Linked DNA regions of Mus musculus. The protein of the gene in region 3 interacts with the protein of the main gene of each other region in a pairwise test. Links are inferred from orthologs where the notes say so. Each region holds a gene or a part of one and is shown on either strand. Other genes may lie near its edges.

What was found.
Region 1: the proteins of Trim23 (region 3) and Ube2i interact in a two-hybrid assay, tested with the Homo sapiens proteins (3 studies listed by BioGRID and IntAct). The link is inferred for Mus musculus from reciprocal best matches to the Homo sapiens genes TRIM23 and UBE2I.
Region 2: the proteins of Trim23 (region 3) and Bag1 interact in binary tests that used the Homo sapiens proteins (3 or more experiments, as listed by UniProt). The two-hybrid records come from large-scale screens. The link is inferred for Mus musculus from reciprocal best matches to the Homo sapiens genes TRIM23 and BAG1.
Region 4: the proteins of Trim23 (region 3) and Hoxb5 interact in binary tests that used the Homo sapiens proteins (3 or more experiments, as listed by UniProt). The two-hybrid records come from large-scale screens. The link is inferred for Mus musculus from reciprocal best matches to the Homo sapiens genes TRIM23 and HOXB5.

The regions. Positions count from the first base shown.
Region 1 is NC_000083.6:25,270,632-25,274,797, reverse strand, and holds the start of Ube2i (SUMO-conjugating enzyme UBC9), read left to right. Parts: upstream 1-1,366; 5' UTR 1,367-1,477; intron 1,478-2,032; exon of another isoform or gene 2,033-2,260; intron 2,261-4,166. UniProt on the Homo sapiens protein: Accepts the ubiquitin-like proteins SUMO1, SUMO2, SUMO3, SUMO4 and SUMO1P1/SUMO5 from the UBLE1A-UBLE1B E1 complex and catalyzes their covalent attachment to other proteins with the help of an E3 ligase such as RANBP2, CBX4 and ZNF451.
Region 2 is NC_000070.6:40,938,295-40,941,794, forward strand, and holds part of Bag1 (BAG family molecular chaperone regulator 1), read right to left. Parts: intron 3,345-3,500; coding exon 3,231-3,344; intron 891-3,230; coding exon 783-890; intron 1-782. UniProt on the Homo sapiens protein: Co-chaperone for HSP70 and HSC70 chaperone proteins. Acts as a nucleotide-exchange factor (NEF) promoting the release of ADP from the HSP70 and HSC70 proteins thereby triggering client/substrate protein release.
Region 3 is NC_000079.6:104,199,339-104,202,838, forward strand, and holds part of Trim23 (E3 ubiquitin-protein ligase TRIM23), read left to right. Parts: intron 1-730; coding exon 731-855; intron 856-1,892; coding exon 1,893-2,072; 3' UTR 2,073-3,500.
Region 4 is NC_000077.6:96,302,214-96,306,311, forward strand, and holds Hoxb5 (homeobox protein Hox-B5), read left to right. Parts: upstream 1-1,298; 5' UTR 1,299-1,400; coding exon 1,401-1,962; intron 1,963-2,676; coding exon 2,677-2,924; 3' UTR 2,925-3,908; downstream 3,909-4,098. UniProt on the Homo sapiens protein: Sequence-specific transcription factor which is part of a developmental regulatory system that provides cells with specific positional identities on the anterior-posterior axis.

The DNA.
Region 1 (4,166 bases), on a different chromosome or scaffold from region 3:
TGTTTTGCAGGCTGGGATGGATCCAAACCAGATCTGTTGGGGGTACAGATCTAGTGTGTCAGGAACTTGTATCTAAGCCGACCTTGTCTACAACTCAGCCCCAATGAGAGACCAAGGTCCCTCAGGATCTGGTGCTCACTGTGATCTTAACTCTTAAACAGTACGGCTACGAACAGGAGGAATTAACAGGGTGAGCTCCAGGGAATGTTGGACAATTGTGGGCAAGGGGCATGGGACCTTAGTTCCTGTTTTGGGGCACCCAACAACCTCAAAAGGTAAGAGGAGAACGAAGGAAGGAGAGAGTGGTGAGTAGATGGACGGAGATACTGACAGATGAACACTGGAGTCCCTGGCAGCAATTGGACCCATAGTCCAAATTCCCAGGAAGCCCTTGTTGGCTGCAACTGGCCCCGAAAGGCCTCCAGCACGTGCCAAAAAAAAAGGAGCAGGCGCCAGAATGGCCACCAGGGGGCCAGCCGACGGTTCTAAGTACCCGTCCCGTCGGTGAGTCGGTGAGGAAGCATCCGAGCTGGGTTGCAGAGGACTGGCCGAGGAAACTGGACTAGGCCACGGCGTGACAAAAGCGTGTCCAGCGGGGCCAGCAGAAGCCGCACAGGGGTTTCAGGTGGAACTAAGGTGTGGGGTGCGGCACAGGGAAGAGGCCTGGGGCGCGCGCGCGGGGGGGGGGGTCCGCGGGTGCTGCCCCTCCCCCACGGCGCAGGCCCATTCCCCTCCCCCACTAGGGGGCTAACTCGTAGGTTAGGGAGCATCCACATTTCTCTCCCCGTCGGTTTTGCTTGCGTTTGGCCCTTTGTATGAGGCTAGTTCATTGGATAGTTTCGAGGTTCACCCCGCCCAAGTTCCTGAGCTGGCCAATTGCAGAAAGTGTCACAGCGCGCTAAGTTCCGGGGATCGTCACCGTACTGCGACGATTCCCAGGATGTTTAGGCCTCAGTGATCTTTGCTCCCGGGACTCGGGCCTTGAGCCCAAGGATACCTCCAGAGCCTGTGCCCGGGAAGGTGCCCTCTGAGCATCCGGATGACCCTTGGGAATCTATGCTTCTTTTTCCTCACACGACTCTCTGATGTGTCCTCGAGTGGACGCGCTCATCCCGAAGAGGAGTTTGCAGACGCTCCCTCGAGCCTAGGACGCGGCCCCTTTAAGAGTGCGGCCGTTCAGGGCACCGCCTGCTTGGACAGGCGCCCTGGGCTCGGGCTCCTTAGGCGGTCGCGGGCAACGAGGGCGCGGCAGCCGCGTGCGGGCTGCGGGAAGCTCGTGTTTAAGTAGACGCGTAGGCCACCGGACGGGAGGGACGGTAAGCTGAGCAGGCGTGTGGCGGGCAGCCCAGCTCAGGCCCCGCCCCGCCCGCTGGGGTCCTGCGCTCCGTGCTGCGCGCGGCGGGCGCGGAGGGAAGTCCCGAGACAAAGGAGCGCCGCCGCCTCTGCCGCCGCGACGGTCCGGGCCGCGGTCGCCCAGGTGAGCCGCCACCGGCCTGCGCACGCACTCCCATCTTCGCCCGGACTCGCCGCCGTTCCCAGTGAGCTTCCGGGAGGCGCCGAGCGGAGCCACGGCGGCCTCCTCTCGCTCGCGGCCTCCGAGTCTCGGCCTTCGGGGCACTAGGGCCCAGCCGCTGTGCCACGGGAGAATACAGGGTTGGGAGCACGGCCCACTGCCCCCCTACTCTTGGCGAACTGAGTTCCGCCGACCCCGCAACAGATAATCTGAGCTTCCCAGTAGCTCCCAGACGCGTTCTGGGCGGTGCTGGGCTCCGTAGTTAGGCGAGTGAGAGTGCGGAAGGCCGTGAGTACTGGGCCGTGTCGGGGCCTGTAAGCACCCGGAGTCACATCAGAAGGCTTCGTTCGTTACCGAGACGCTAGGCTTGTAGCTTGGGTTTTTGTGGGGGAGTCTTGTGTATATTCTCTGCCCCACCTTCCTTTATTCTTAAGGAACTGTTGTTTTAGTGGATGAGTTAGTTACCTGCCTGCATAGCAGAAAACGGGCGTCGAAGGGGAGTTTGTTTTCTTTCTAAAGGTATTCAGGCTGTGAGTGATCGCAGTCCTGCCCTCCTCTGGCTGTCTCTGCCACTGGAAACTTAACAAACAGCGTGGTATACTTACTGAAGGATCCTTAGGGCCTACAGTGTGCATTCGAGTAAAAGAGGCCGCTTCGCCCTATCCAAGCCAGCCGTAGTGCCTGGTACCCATGTTCCCTCTGCCGAGGTGGGCGGAGATAAGCAACCTTGCACAGGCTCTCTGACCGGTAAGTAGCTCTGAAGTAGGTGGTGTCGCCAGACAAATACTGTACACTGTAGGAAGCCTGGAGTCATAAGACCCATCCCTGTATGTCCTTCCTGTCTCTAGTAGTGGGGAGGGGAATGGTTTTTTGGTTTGGTTTGGTTTAGTTTGGTCATTGCATCACAAAACTTTTAGCTCGTGAAGTGACTGTTTGCCTGGGAAGGCAAGTTGTGTTTAAGTGGCTTTTGGAGTGCTTGCGGGAGCAGCAGCACTGCCCCCCAAGTTTCTGCCTAGATCATTGCCAGGGTGCTCCTAGGGTTCCTTTTCCTCGACCGTGGGGCAAAAGGCCTTTAAGAGTTCTGATAAGAGCCACCTCTCACTTCTCCCTGTTTTTGAGACAGGATCTCTTGTAGCCAAGGCTAACCTTGAACTCTTGGTGATTCCCTGGTTCTGTCTCCTTAACACTGAGTGTCCAGGCAAGAGCAGTTGAGCTAGCTTCTCGGTTCTTCTCACTTAGGATAGCTGCAGTTGGATGCTAGGACAGAGTTCTCTGGGCACACAACTTTATCCTGAAGTCAGTTACAGCTGTCCCAACAGCTTTGTGTGGCCCGGTGTCCAGGCTTCTTTCTCCAGAGCACTGGCCCCGGGCTCCAGAGAGAAACCTGTTAGGAAACCCTGCCCAGACTTGCTTGCCATCTTCTGCCATCTGATTGGCTGGATGAGGATAGCTGCTTCAGTGGAAGATGCTAGAGAAAGAGATTGGGCAGGCCTGTGCGTTGAGAAGTTGAAAAGAGGGACACATTGGAAGTGAAGCCCTATGCTCCAGTCACTCTTAGATGAGCGCCACCTGGGTCGTAAATTGCCTAAGAGATGACTATTAGGGCAGGTTGGGGTTTTGTGGCAGAACCTTGGTGCTTGTTCCTAGACAGGCTCTACTCCTGTGCTAGGAAAAGACAGTTGGGTTTGGGCTGGACTCTCTGTTTTGGACTTGAGGTCTGTAAGAGAGGAGCCTTGCCTTTAATTTGTATACTTTGTGATTTGGTATTGGAGTTTGTGGAGCATAAGTACTGTCTGTTGTGATTTATAAAAAAAGGAATCGGGATGTTTGATAGAGCCAGGTATGCTTAGAAGGAATGCCAACATTGTCAAGGCTTGTCCTGGTGGCTTGTGCTTTTTTTTTTTTAATATATTTTATGTGCACTATTACCTGTATGTTTGTGTGTTCGAGGGCATCCAGGTCCCCTGGAACTGGAGTTTCAGGCAATCATAAGCTGGCATGTGGGTGCTGGGAGTTGAACCCATTGGAAGAGCATCTAGTACTCTTAATTTCGCCAGTCCCAGCTTGTGCTTCTAAAAGAGGTTCTTCATGTTGGCTTAGAGTGTACAGGATATTAAAAATGCTGATATGAAGTGTTTGTCTTACAATGACCTCACCCACTGAAGTATTTCCTGAACTCTGGGCTCTGGGGTGATGCTGTACCTCTGATGGCAGTCCCAGCCCCTCTCTACTTGGATTTGTACAGTCATCACAAGCAGTCTAGGTGCTGTGGTGCGTGACTGTCAAGGCCAGCTGTGGCCACATGGTGAGACTGTCTCCAAAAATAAAGGAAAGAAAGAAAGAAAAAGTGGTCTAGGAGCCAGATGTAGTGGCTCATGCCTGTAATCCCAATACCAGGAGCTAGCCAGGAGTTTTGGGCTAACCTGGGCTACAGTGTGAGACTCTGAACTTAAAACAAGTCATCTGTAACTTCAGTGCAGGACTCACCAGAATGCTTTGACCCAGTGGGTCTGTCTGTTCAGGTTCAGAACAACTGTGCTTACAGATGGAGGTGCATATCTGATCAGCCCACCTGTAGCCCAGGGATCCTAGCTGGGTCAGGAACACGCAGTAAATCCTAGGGTAGTCACAGCTTTGCAGATAAAATGGGCAG
Region 2 (3,500 bases), on a different chromosome or scaffold from region 3:
TTAAAGGCGTGTGCCACCACACCCGGCGGAAGGCTTATTTATTTTATGGGTGTTTTGCCTGCATGTATATCTATACCACACGCCTGCCTGGGACTTGAGGAGGCCTGAAGAGGACACTGGATCCCCTGGAACTCGGCTTAGAGAGGGTTGCAAGGTACTGTAGATTCTGGGAATCAAATCCAAGTTCTCTGGAAGAGCAACTGGTACTTGTAACCACTGAACCATTTCCCTGGCTCCAAGCTGGCTTTCTTATACAGCCCAGGACCACCTGCCTGGGGCAGATGCAGCTCATAATGGACTCTATCAATTACCAAACCCATCTTGCCCCAGTGTGCCTATAGGTCACGCTCATCTGGGTAATCCCTCAGCTGAGACGTATTTCTTAGGTGCCTCTAGGCTGTGTTAAGATGACAGTTAAAGCTAACTAAGACACACAGTACCTGGCCCATAACAGTAGATGTTTGACATCCCCGAGCAACAGATTTTCCCAGGTAACACAAGTGTAATACTGACAGAACGAAATAGACTGAAATACTGCCACTAAAGAGAAGTACCTCTGGGGTTAGAGAGGTGGCTCAGTGGTTAAGAGCACTGATCGCTCTTCCAGAGGTCCTAAGTTCAATTCCCAGCAACCACATAGTGGCTCACAGCCATCTGTAATGGGGTCTGGTGCTCTCTTCTGGCCTGCAGGCATACATGCAGGCAGAACGCTGTATATATAAATAAATAAAACGTTAAAAGTAAATAAAAAGGCTAGTACCTCTATATGAATGTTTACTTACCATTGTGTCAATCTCCTCCAAGATCTTCATGAATTGCTCAATTGTTGCTTTTACTTTCCTATCAAGTTTGCAGAGAGCCTCCGCTTGCAATTCCTTAGCCAGAAAACCCTGAGAAGGAATAAGGCACTATTGCAAGTGTTTGAGACTCATGGAAAACCATGCCAATAGACTGGTGAAGCAACCCAGAGTTCACCACTGATCTAAGAAGCCCGGCTAGATCTCAGACCTTCATCCCCTGGGAAAATTAGAAATGCTTGCCTTGGCCAGACTAAGAATACTACCAGGGTGTGGACTGTTCTTTCTCTCACAGTCCACTGAGGCATGAATGCCCCCTGAGGAACTATGGTGCAGCCTTCAACACAGGTGCATACATGCACATAAGAAGCAGACATTAAGAGAACAGACTGAAAAGCTGGGCACAGTGCATCAAGGGTTGGCGTGAGGTGTCTTTGCCAAACACTGTGTGGTGGTTTGAATAAAAATGGCCCCCATATATTTGTATGCTTGGTCACTAGGGAGTAGTGCTACTTGACAAGGATTAGGAGGTGTGGCCTTGTGGGAGGAAATGTGTCACTGGGGGTGGGCTTTGGGGTTTTAAAAGCCCAAGCCAGGCCCAGTGTCTCTCTCTAAGTGTTGCCTGTGGATTGAAATGAAGAATTCTCAGCTACCTCTCCAGCACAAAGTCTGCCTGCATGCCACCATGCTTCCTGCCATGATGATAATGGACTAATTAAACCTCTGAACTTTAAGCCAGCCACAAATAAACGCTTTCTTCTTTTAAGAGTTGCTGTGGTCACGGCGCCTCTTCACTGACTAAGACTCTGCCTTATTTTTTGAGACAGGGTCTTTTACTGAATCTGGAGCTTGCCCAATTTGGCTAGACTGTTTGGGCAGTGAGCAGCTGGGATCCAGCCCTCTTCTCTTTGCCTCCCCCACACTGGGATTATACAGTGTGCCATCATGCCCAGTTTCTGCATGGATGCTGGGAATCTGAACCCAGGTCCTGATGCTGTGTGGCAAGCACTTTATCAGCTAAGCTACATTCCCAACTTTGGCTTAAGATCTTAAAGCAAGTTCCTTAAACTTGCCACGTCTCACTGATCTCAGATTATGGGATGCTGACCGGCAGATGTGTAGATGCTCACATAACTCATGGCACAGATAGATACACAAGATAACAGAGGATGGCGGTATTATTGTGGCTTTGGTTTTGAGACAGGATCTCTAACTCACTGCATAGTCAATGCTGCCCTTAAACTGATCCCGTCTCTTGCTCTGAGAAAAGCTGTGATTACGGTGTACAAGCCCACACCTGGTTGAGGTAGCACTTACTGTCATTAAACCACCCTGCTGTTCATTTGCATTTCTTTGCCTAGTGATCAGTTAGCGGGTGGCTGAGTTGAAAAGCAGGAATTTCTGAAGATGGCTATCAAACCAGAGTGACAAAGGCATATTTGTAAACACACAGCAAGAAGTTCGAACATTACTCAGAAATCCAAACTCAGTTCTATCAAAGACAATCACAACTACTCAAAAAGGACTCCTGTCTAAGGGCACTCAAAGCAGCAGCACAGTAAGAGAAAAAAATCAGGTAAAACAGAGAACAGAGACTAAGGTAGGTAAACCATGATATATTCACATGCAGGAAAATATGACCATTTTCAACAACACAGGAAAATGTTAATTTTTAGCCAGTAAAAGAACAATTTACCAAATGTATAGCATATTATATTTTAACTAAATAAGGTGAAAAATACTTTTCAGAGTAATAGCATCTCTGGGTCAGACATACAGACCTGCACACAAGAAGCACAGTAAGAGCCGGGCGTGGTGGTGCACGCCTTTAATCCCAGCACTTGGGAGGCAGAGGCAGGCGGATTTCTGAGTTCAAGGCCAGCCTGGTCTACAGAGTGAGTTCCAGGACAGCCAGGGCTACACAGAGAAACCCTGTCTTGAAAAACCAAAAAAACAAAAAAACAAAAACCAAACAAACAAAAACCAAAAAAACGAACAAACAAACAAAACAACAACAACAACAAAAGCAGCACAGTGAGAGCAGAGCTGAGCTTAGGACGTGAAAGGCCTCGGCTTGAATCTATCTATACGCACATATAAAACTTTTGTGTAAGCATCACAAACTAATTTTATAATTACAACACAAAACAGGACTGGAGAGATGGCTCGGAGATTAAGAAGGTGTACTGTTCTACTAGCCGACCTGCGTTCTGCTCCCAGCATCTAGAGGCTCACCACCTCACATCACCCCAGCTCTGGGGGGTGTGGGGGGTGTCTTCCTGGCCACCAGCACTCACATCCACCTACTCCAACACAGACCCAGGCAGACTCACACATAATTAATATATAATTTAAAAATGAAATAAATTATTTTTTAAAAAGCCAACCAGGCAACAATACCATACCACTCTATCCACAGAATAGAGAAGTCACCTGCTGGATGCCAGAAAGCTCTTTATTCAATTCTTGCAGGTGGTTAGCTATCTTCTCTGCAGATACCTCCAAATCTTTCAGCTTCTTTAACTCAACCTCTTCTTCTGGATTGCTCTAACATAAAGAATAAAACGAGGTCAGTAATTGCTCACCTAAAACAACTGAGCCAACCTCTTGTGCTTCTTGGAAAGCAAGTCAAAGGGTTAGACAACAGGATTCCTATCCATAAAGCCCAGCCCAGGGAGAAGGAAGGCCAAGCGAGCATCCTAG
Region 3 (3,500 bases):
ACTTACTTCACACCTGGCTCCATTCTACACTTTTGTGCCCCCTCCCATGAAGTATTACATACACCTATTTTATAATAATGGTGATATTTCTATTCCTTAAGATTATAGTTTTCTATGCTACTATTTTTTTTCACGTTTTTGAGACAGTATGTAGGCTTACCTGACCTTGAGCTTGCTATGTAGACTAGGTTAGCCTCAAATCATAAAGATCCATCTGTCTCTGCCTCTTGAGTGCTGGGAATAAAGGTGTGGGCTACCAGACTCAGCAGTTTTGTTGTTGTTTTTAACTTTTTAAGTTAACATACACAGTAATGAGTTTCATTATGGCATTTTTCATATGTATGCATCATTAACACTTCTCCTTCCTCCTAGCGGTTTGCCTTTCCCTAAAGAGCTCTCACTCTGCTTTTGTAAAGAACAGGCAGCCTTAAGGGAGATCTTAAGCACATTTTCAGGGGACAGGTTCTGAGGGACAGGTGTTTTTTTTTTTTTTTTTTTTTTTTGGTAGATTCAGTTTTATAAAACCTGTCAGAGGAGGAGAACCTGTGAAGCTATCTAAACTCTTCCTGAATTATTGCTTTAAGGCTTTAAGTAGTGACATTAAGTAGGTAGGTAGCCTTTAAATGAAGATAGGGTAAATAAGATTTAGCAAGAATAATGAAAGCAATTAATACTTTTTAATTTACTTAAACTTAATAAATAACTTGAAAATTTCTGTGTACTTTTGTAGCTGTTGTATTTGTTGTTGATAGTAGTCATAGAGACAGAATTAGTGAAGCACACAGTGAACTTGCAAAGTTGTTAACGGAAAAAGAACTCCGAGATGCCTTACTCTTGATTTTTGCTAACAAACAGGTAATGAATTTTTATATCAACATTTATTACTTTGGTAGTTTTGCATATTCCATATCATAAGTCATTTGAGAAGATATCAAAGAATCAATAGATACTTGTAAATTTCTGCTGTGGAAAATGTTACCTTCGATATTGTAGAGTATATGCACATACAAATCAAGTAAATGCATTCTTGTGTGTTCATGCTATATTCTAATATATATAAATTAGGACATCACTTCAACAATATTAATAGAATGCTGAGACGTAAGGATAGACCTATTCTAAATTAGGTTGTATCTTAAAGTATGTAAAAGTGGATTTAGGTAGATCAGGAGTTTAGATTGGCCTGGCATATATGGCAATCTCAAAGCTAGCCTGAGTTATGCATCAAGACCTTGTCTCAGAAATAGGAAAAGCTGGAGCTGAGTGGCAGTGCTCCCATGTAACATGTAACATGTCCCATGTAACATGTGCATGGCCTTGGTTTTGATCCTTTGAATGGTTTATAGTGGGGGATTCGGTCATATGATTGGAGTTTAAATTATGATAGGATTGAACTTACAGATGTATTTGAGTTTATATGTGAAGGAATAATATTAACAGGAAGAGAAACAGTAGCATAGCTAGTTTTAGGGAGCATCAAACTAACTTATATATTAAATTCAGTTAAAGGATGAAGAAAACCTAGATTAATAGATCTGGTCATGGAATAGAATAAAAAAGTTAATACTTTATTTTGTAACATTTTTAAAAAAAAATTATTAATCTACATTCCAAGTGTTGCCTCCCTTCCTGGTTCTCCCCTTTGCTTCTGAAAGGTGCCCCGCCACCTACCCTATCATAGCTGTGATTGATTTCATTATTTATTCCTTAATATATATAGATATTCTAACCAAAACATTTTCTTAATTCTTTTAGTTAATCTTAGAATCTGAAAATGAATTTTGGTTTTGTTTAGGATTCAATCACAGTGTTACCAGTAGTTTTCTATACAATTGGTAAGAGTTAGAAAAATGATTCCTTGATTGATAGAAATCACTCTATGTGTTTTTTAGGATGTAGCTGGAGCACTTTCAGTAGAAGAAATCACTGAACTTCTCAGTCTCCATAAACTATGCTGTGGAAGGAGTTGGTATATTCAGGGCTGTGATGCTCGAAGTGGAATGGGGCTCTACGAAGGGTTGGACTGGCTGTCCCGGCAACTTGTGGCTGCTGGAGTGTTGGATGTTGCTTGATTTTAATGCAGCAGTTGTTTCATGCTTATGGTTAACAGTTACTTTGCATGTGATGCATTCTAAGAAATTCTACATCTCAAATGTGATAATTAATTTAGTATGTGTATATATGAATCCTGGACTGAGAAATGTACCATTGTTTTTAAAAAGTACTCTGTGGCAAATTTAAATGACCCTGTTACATTGGTTAAATGGAGGTTTCTTGGATATACACTTTTAAAAGGTACATTAGGCATTGGAAACTTTCAGTGTATATATGTCCTTATATTGAGAGAGAAGTGGTCACAGACAATGAGTAGAAGGTCCTTTATTTTAGTGAAAAAACAGCCAGTGGAGTGCCTAACAGAGCTTAAGGAAGTATGGCTTTACCCCACCTTTTTATTGTTTTTGGCCATTGTGTACTAGAATTGAAGCTATATTGGGGTAATAGGATTGCTTTACTTCCACATTTAGCATAACATCCTTAGTGCTGGGGTCCATAAAACATAGAAAATCATTTTTTTCTACAATTTTATTATAACTCTCTCCTAAAGCATTTTGCATAACGCACAGTGAGAATGAAATGTTACCTAAGTGGACCTGATCATTAGACCAGAACTAAATTAAGAACAATAAAACTGTGAAAGTTGTTTGATCTTCACTCATAAGAACCATTTCCAGGACTGGGCCTAAGTTTATTTCCCAGGTCATAGCCCTAAATTGCTCCTTTATTTGTTCAACACATTTTCTTAGGCTAAGTAATGTGCATCCTTTGTTGGTAAAGTGTCGTAAGTCACATGAAAAACCTGTCACCTTTACATAAACACATTGAGACCTAAATAGGAAACTACCTATACCTTAGGAAAGGTTTTTCAAACAGTGGGAATGCTAATTTCTTTAACATGGTTTTCCAAGTTAAGTGCATTTACTTGACAATAAAAAGGATCAAGGCTCTTTAGGACAAGGTCTCAGTTAAAAGGAAGAACATGTCTAAAGTAAAAGAAACTTTTATAAAAAGTTTACATTTACTATGGCAGTGTTGTGAATAAAAATTAAATTTTGTGTTCTTACAGTTTATTTGTAAAAGATACTCTTATTATGGAAGCATGATTTCTTATATTTAAATAGGTAGATCTCCTGTTACTAATGCTCTTTAAGATGAAGTTGAGAGCTAAATCTTAGTGCAATTGTTACAAGGACAGTGATTTTTAGGTGGCAATGTTCTGGTTCAGTTTTTTCAAATATACTTTTTTTTTTTTAAACTTAGGAGCCAGCACTATAAAAAGCCCATCAAATATTATGGGCAGTATGTAAATAAAAATATAATAATTTGCCATTTTTCAAGAAAGTAACCGGTCACGCTGTTACAAGTAGTTTGTATGCATATGTAATACTTTGTAATTAAATTATTTAATATTTGACTGATTTTAGTAACTGTGAAAAATAAAG
Region 4 (4,098 bases), on a different chromosome or scaffold from region 3:
TTGGAGACCCGAGGGCAGGGGTCCAGGTGATGGCGCCTTTAGTCTCACCTTCTCAACCCAAAATGGCTCATTTTCTCTTTACTGCCACCCACACCCGAGCAGCAAGCTTCAGGCCCCGTTTTCTTTTCTTCCTTCTCCCTCTCCCCCCTCCTTTTTTTATTTTTAAAGAAAATAGCCGTCTGGCAGAAGGGGCCCAGCTGCGGAGATCTCTGGCCGCCCAGCGAGCTCAGCAAGGGGCCGCCGGTCTTCCGAACACCTTCCCAGGGAAGGCGGTAAGGCCATGAGCAAATTCTCCAATTATTGGCCACCAGCAACACAAGGCTTTGGATTTGGTCTCTGAATGAGATAGCTGGCATCTGGCGAGCTTGTTAAAGGGGATCTGTTTAAACCCCAAACTCCCGCAGAAGAGTTACCACCAAACCTTAACCGCTCAGACGGTTGTCTCTCTAGTCTTTGGCCGACCGACCATCTTTCTCTTCTAGGGTCCCTGTTTACCTCGGTTCCTAGGCCTAGGCTAAGGATGAGAGGTCAGAAGGAAAAATCCAAACTTCCCAGGGGCCCAGGAGAACGAAGAGCTTCCCTGCCTTTTCCAGCCTCCCTCCAGCCTAGTCCTGCGGCTCTCTCTCGTGTTGTGGACCCGCCGCTGAAGCCTAGCCAAGAAGCAGACCTGGCTGAGCTAACAAAATTCTTATAATTGTTTTTCACACACAACTTATAATCCTTCCCCCCATTTCCTTACCCAAGTTGGGGACTGGCAAAGCCTAAGGAGGGAAGATCAAGCAACTTCATTTTGATTATATTACCCAGAGTTAAAATAATAATGGTGATGATAATGTCAGAGAGGCCACAAATAGAGGGGATAGCCGCACCCTAACGAAGTAGGCAAAAGACTCAAATCCATCTTCCTAAAGGTTCAAGCCTGTGAGTGAGCTGCGGGCCGGGTTTCTTTCTTGGCTTGGCGGTTGCACAGAGCCAGCAAAGAGGTTGCCGAAGCCGCCATGGCGGCCTGCGGCCCGCGCTCCCGTCAATCGCCGGGAGGTGGCGCGCTCTGCTCAGAGGCCAACGTCAACCTTCTCCCTGTTTTTCCCCCTTCTCACTTTCTCCCCCCCTCTCGGAGGCTCGCATTGAATCGGCCCTAACGATTCTCCGATCGTCATTATTTGTAACCATAGAGCATGAATTACCTCTTGAGGTCATCAGTGAGAATTTACGACTGGTCAACAAAAGCACGTGATTCCCTAACGCCCCCCCATCCCCCTTCTAACCCCCCCCATATTTGGCCGCATACATAGCAAAACGAAGTACAGTGCATCGCTATAATTCATTAATACATCATAAATCGTGAAGCACAGGGTTATAACGACCACGATCCACAAATCAAGCCCTCCAAAATCACCCAAATGAGCTCGTACTTTGTAAACTCCTTCTCGGGGCGTTATCCAAATGGCCCGGACTATCAGTTGCTAAATTATGGCAGTGGCAGCTCTCTGAGCGGCTCTTACAGGGATCCCGCTGCCATGCACACCGGCTCTTACGGCTACAATTACAATGGGATGGATCTCAGCGTCAACCGCTCCTCGGCCTCCTCCAGCCACTTTGGGGCGGTGGGCGAGAGCTCGCGCGCCTTCCCCGCGTCCGCCCAGGAACCCCGCTTCAGGCAGGCGACGTCCAGCTGCTCCCTGTCCTCGCCCGAGTCCCTGCCCTGCACTAACGGCGACAGCCACGGCGCCAAGCCCTCTGCTTCGTCCCCTTCCGACCAGGCGACCCCAGCCAGCTCCAGCGCCAATTTCACCGAAATAGACGAGGCCAGCGCGTCCTCTGAGCCCGAGGAAGCGGCGAGCCAGCTAAGCAGCCCCAGCTTGGCTCGAGCACAGCCAGAGCCCATGGCCACCTCTACGGCCGCGCCCGAGGGGCAGACTCCACAGATATTCCCCTGGATGAGGAAGCTTCACATCAGCCACGGTAATTCTCCATCTCTTTTTTGTCCTCTCCGCATTCCTGCCCTGTGTTGGGGGTGGGGGCGAGCAAAGCTTGGCTTTGCCTCAAATATAGATCCCTTTTTTCTTTTCTTTTTTTCTTTTTCTTTCTTTCTTTTTTTTTGCCATCAAGAGGGAAAAGTGTCAGAAAGGGTCCCCACAGCTCCATAGATAGAGCCAAACAGTGTTGTTTTCTGGGCGTAGGCATTTAAAAAAAAAAAAAAAAGGCCAGTTTGTTGCCACGTTCAGCTTAGGTTTTGTTTACCTAGCCAGTCACCGGCTTTAGGATGAAAGATGGGATTTGTGTATTGTGAGGAAGGGTCCTGATTATTACAGAAATTTTGAGACTGCTGCTAGCAAAGGGGGAATGGGCTATAAACGGAGCTTTCTAGGGCAAAAGTGCAGTGGCTCTCTTCCCTCCCGGGCGAGCTGCCGCCTGAACCCAGCCTAGGGTGAGGCACTGGGAAGGAGCCAGAGACAAAGCCGGGAGCATTCACTACCATCAGAAGTGGGGGCTGCTGGAGAAGGGGGGGTATGAAGAAATAGAGGCTGGATGCAGGCATCTGGGGTGAGGAGGATGGGAGCTGCGGTGAGCTGGGTGCTGGGGACGCCTGGGTCCTGCTCCCCGCCCCCTCCCACTCAGTGCCCCCTCCTTTAACCGGAATAACGTTGCCTCGGGGCTCTCCTCTAACTGCTCTAGATATGACTGGGCCAGACGGAAAAAGGGCCCGGACCGCCTATACTCGCTACCAGACCCTGGAGCTGGAAAAGGAATTCCACTTCAATCGCTACCTGACCCGGCGGCGACGTATCGAGATCGCCCACGCGCTTTGCCTGTCCGAGCGTCAGATCAAAATCTGGTTCCAGAACCGTCGCATGAAGTGGAAGAAAGACAACAAACTGAAAAGTATGAGTCTGGCTACAGCCGGCAGCGCCTTCCAACCTTGAGCCCATCCGGAGGAGCCCTGGGCGGCCCGAGAGCCCGCACCAACCCCAGCTCGACCCTTCCAATCTTCCCTGCACTGCCGCTGCCCGCTGGGGACCAGTTCCCACGAGCCTGTCACACCCCAGTCCTGTGTTACAATTTTTCGTTTGGTCTTAGGTCTTCCCATGGCTCCCTCTCTCCTGGACTGGTTATCTTGTTATTATTGTTAATAATAATTATTATTATTATTTCCCCCTCCGTGCTCCCCACTTCTCTTGGCTCGCCCCCCCCCAAGTTGCCAGTGTTTCTGAATGTCCTCGTGTCTGTGGTTGCGCTCCTTTCCCCAGGAAAAAGAAAAGAAAAAGAAATTCGCATGTTTAATGTGACTTCCCCTCCCCGTCTGTGTTCTAACTTATTTATAAAAGGATGATGGCTGTATTTTGAGTTTCTGCTGGAAACTTCCATAAGGGGCAGCAGTTGAGGTTGGGTAGTGCTGGGCCCAGCTGAGCTGGCCTGGGAAATGGAGCCCACTGTCTGTGTCTCTTTTCTCCCACCTCATCCTTCTTCAGCCCCACCCAGCCCCCACTCCCTAGGCTCAGGTAGCTTGTTCCTTGGGGTGGGAAGGGAGCTAGGGAAGGGTCAAAGTGTGGACATTGAGAAGAGGAGAGGAAAGGAGCAAGAGCTGAACTCCTGCTGCCTGGTAGGCCCCACAAGGCCTAGTCTGGAAGCGTATGGAATCAGAAATAATCCTCAGTGTAAAATGTCTTGTGATTTTTCTCTGTGAATCCGTGGGTCTGGCTAGAAGGCCCAATGCTGTAAATATGGGGATAGTCTGGGTCAGGCCAATCACTTCCTCTCTCACCCATTTCGCTTCCAAGACCATTTGTAGTGAGCGGGTGGATGCTGTGCTACGTGTGAAATCTGTCTTTGCCAGGCCTGTCTCAGTGATTAGCTTTTGGTATGTCTGTAGCTTTCCTTGAAGTTGAATAAATGTTTCCCCCACTCCAGTGCCCTCTACTTGTCTTTTCTCAGAGGGTCTGACTCTTTCACCATCCAGCACAACCTGGTCTAAGACCATCTTCAATAAATCTAGGGCATAGGGAAGCCCACCAGAAATCCCTCAAAGCCACCTCACTCCCAGGCTTGGCCCACTGAGGCTTGATGAGGGGACTGAGAGGCCCAGGAACTTCACGTGGC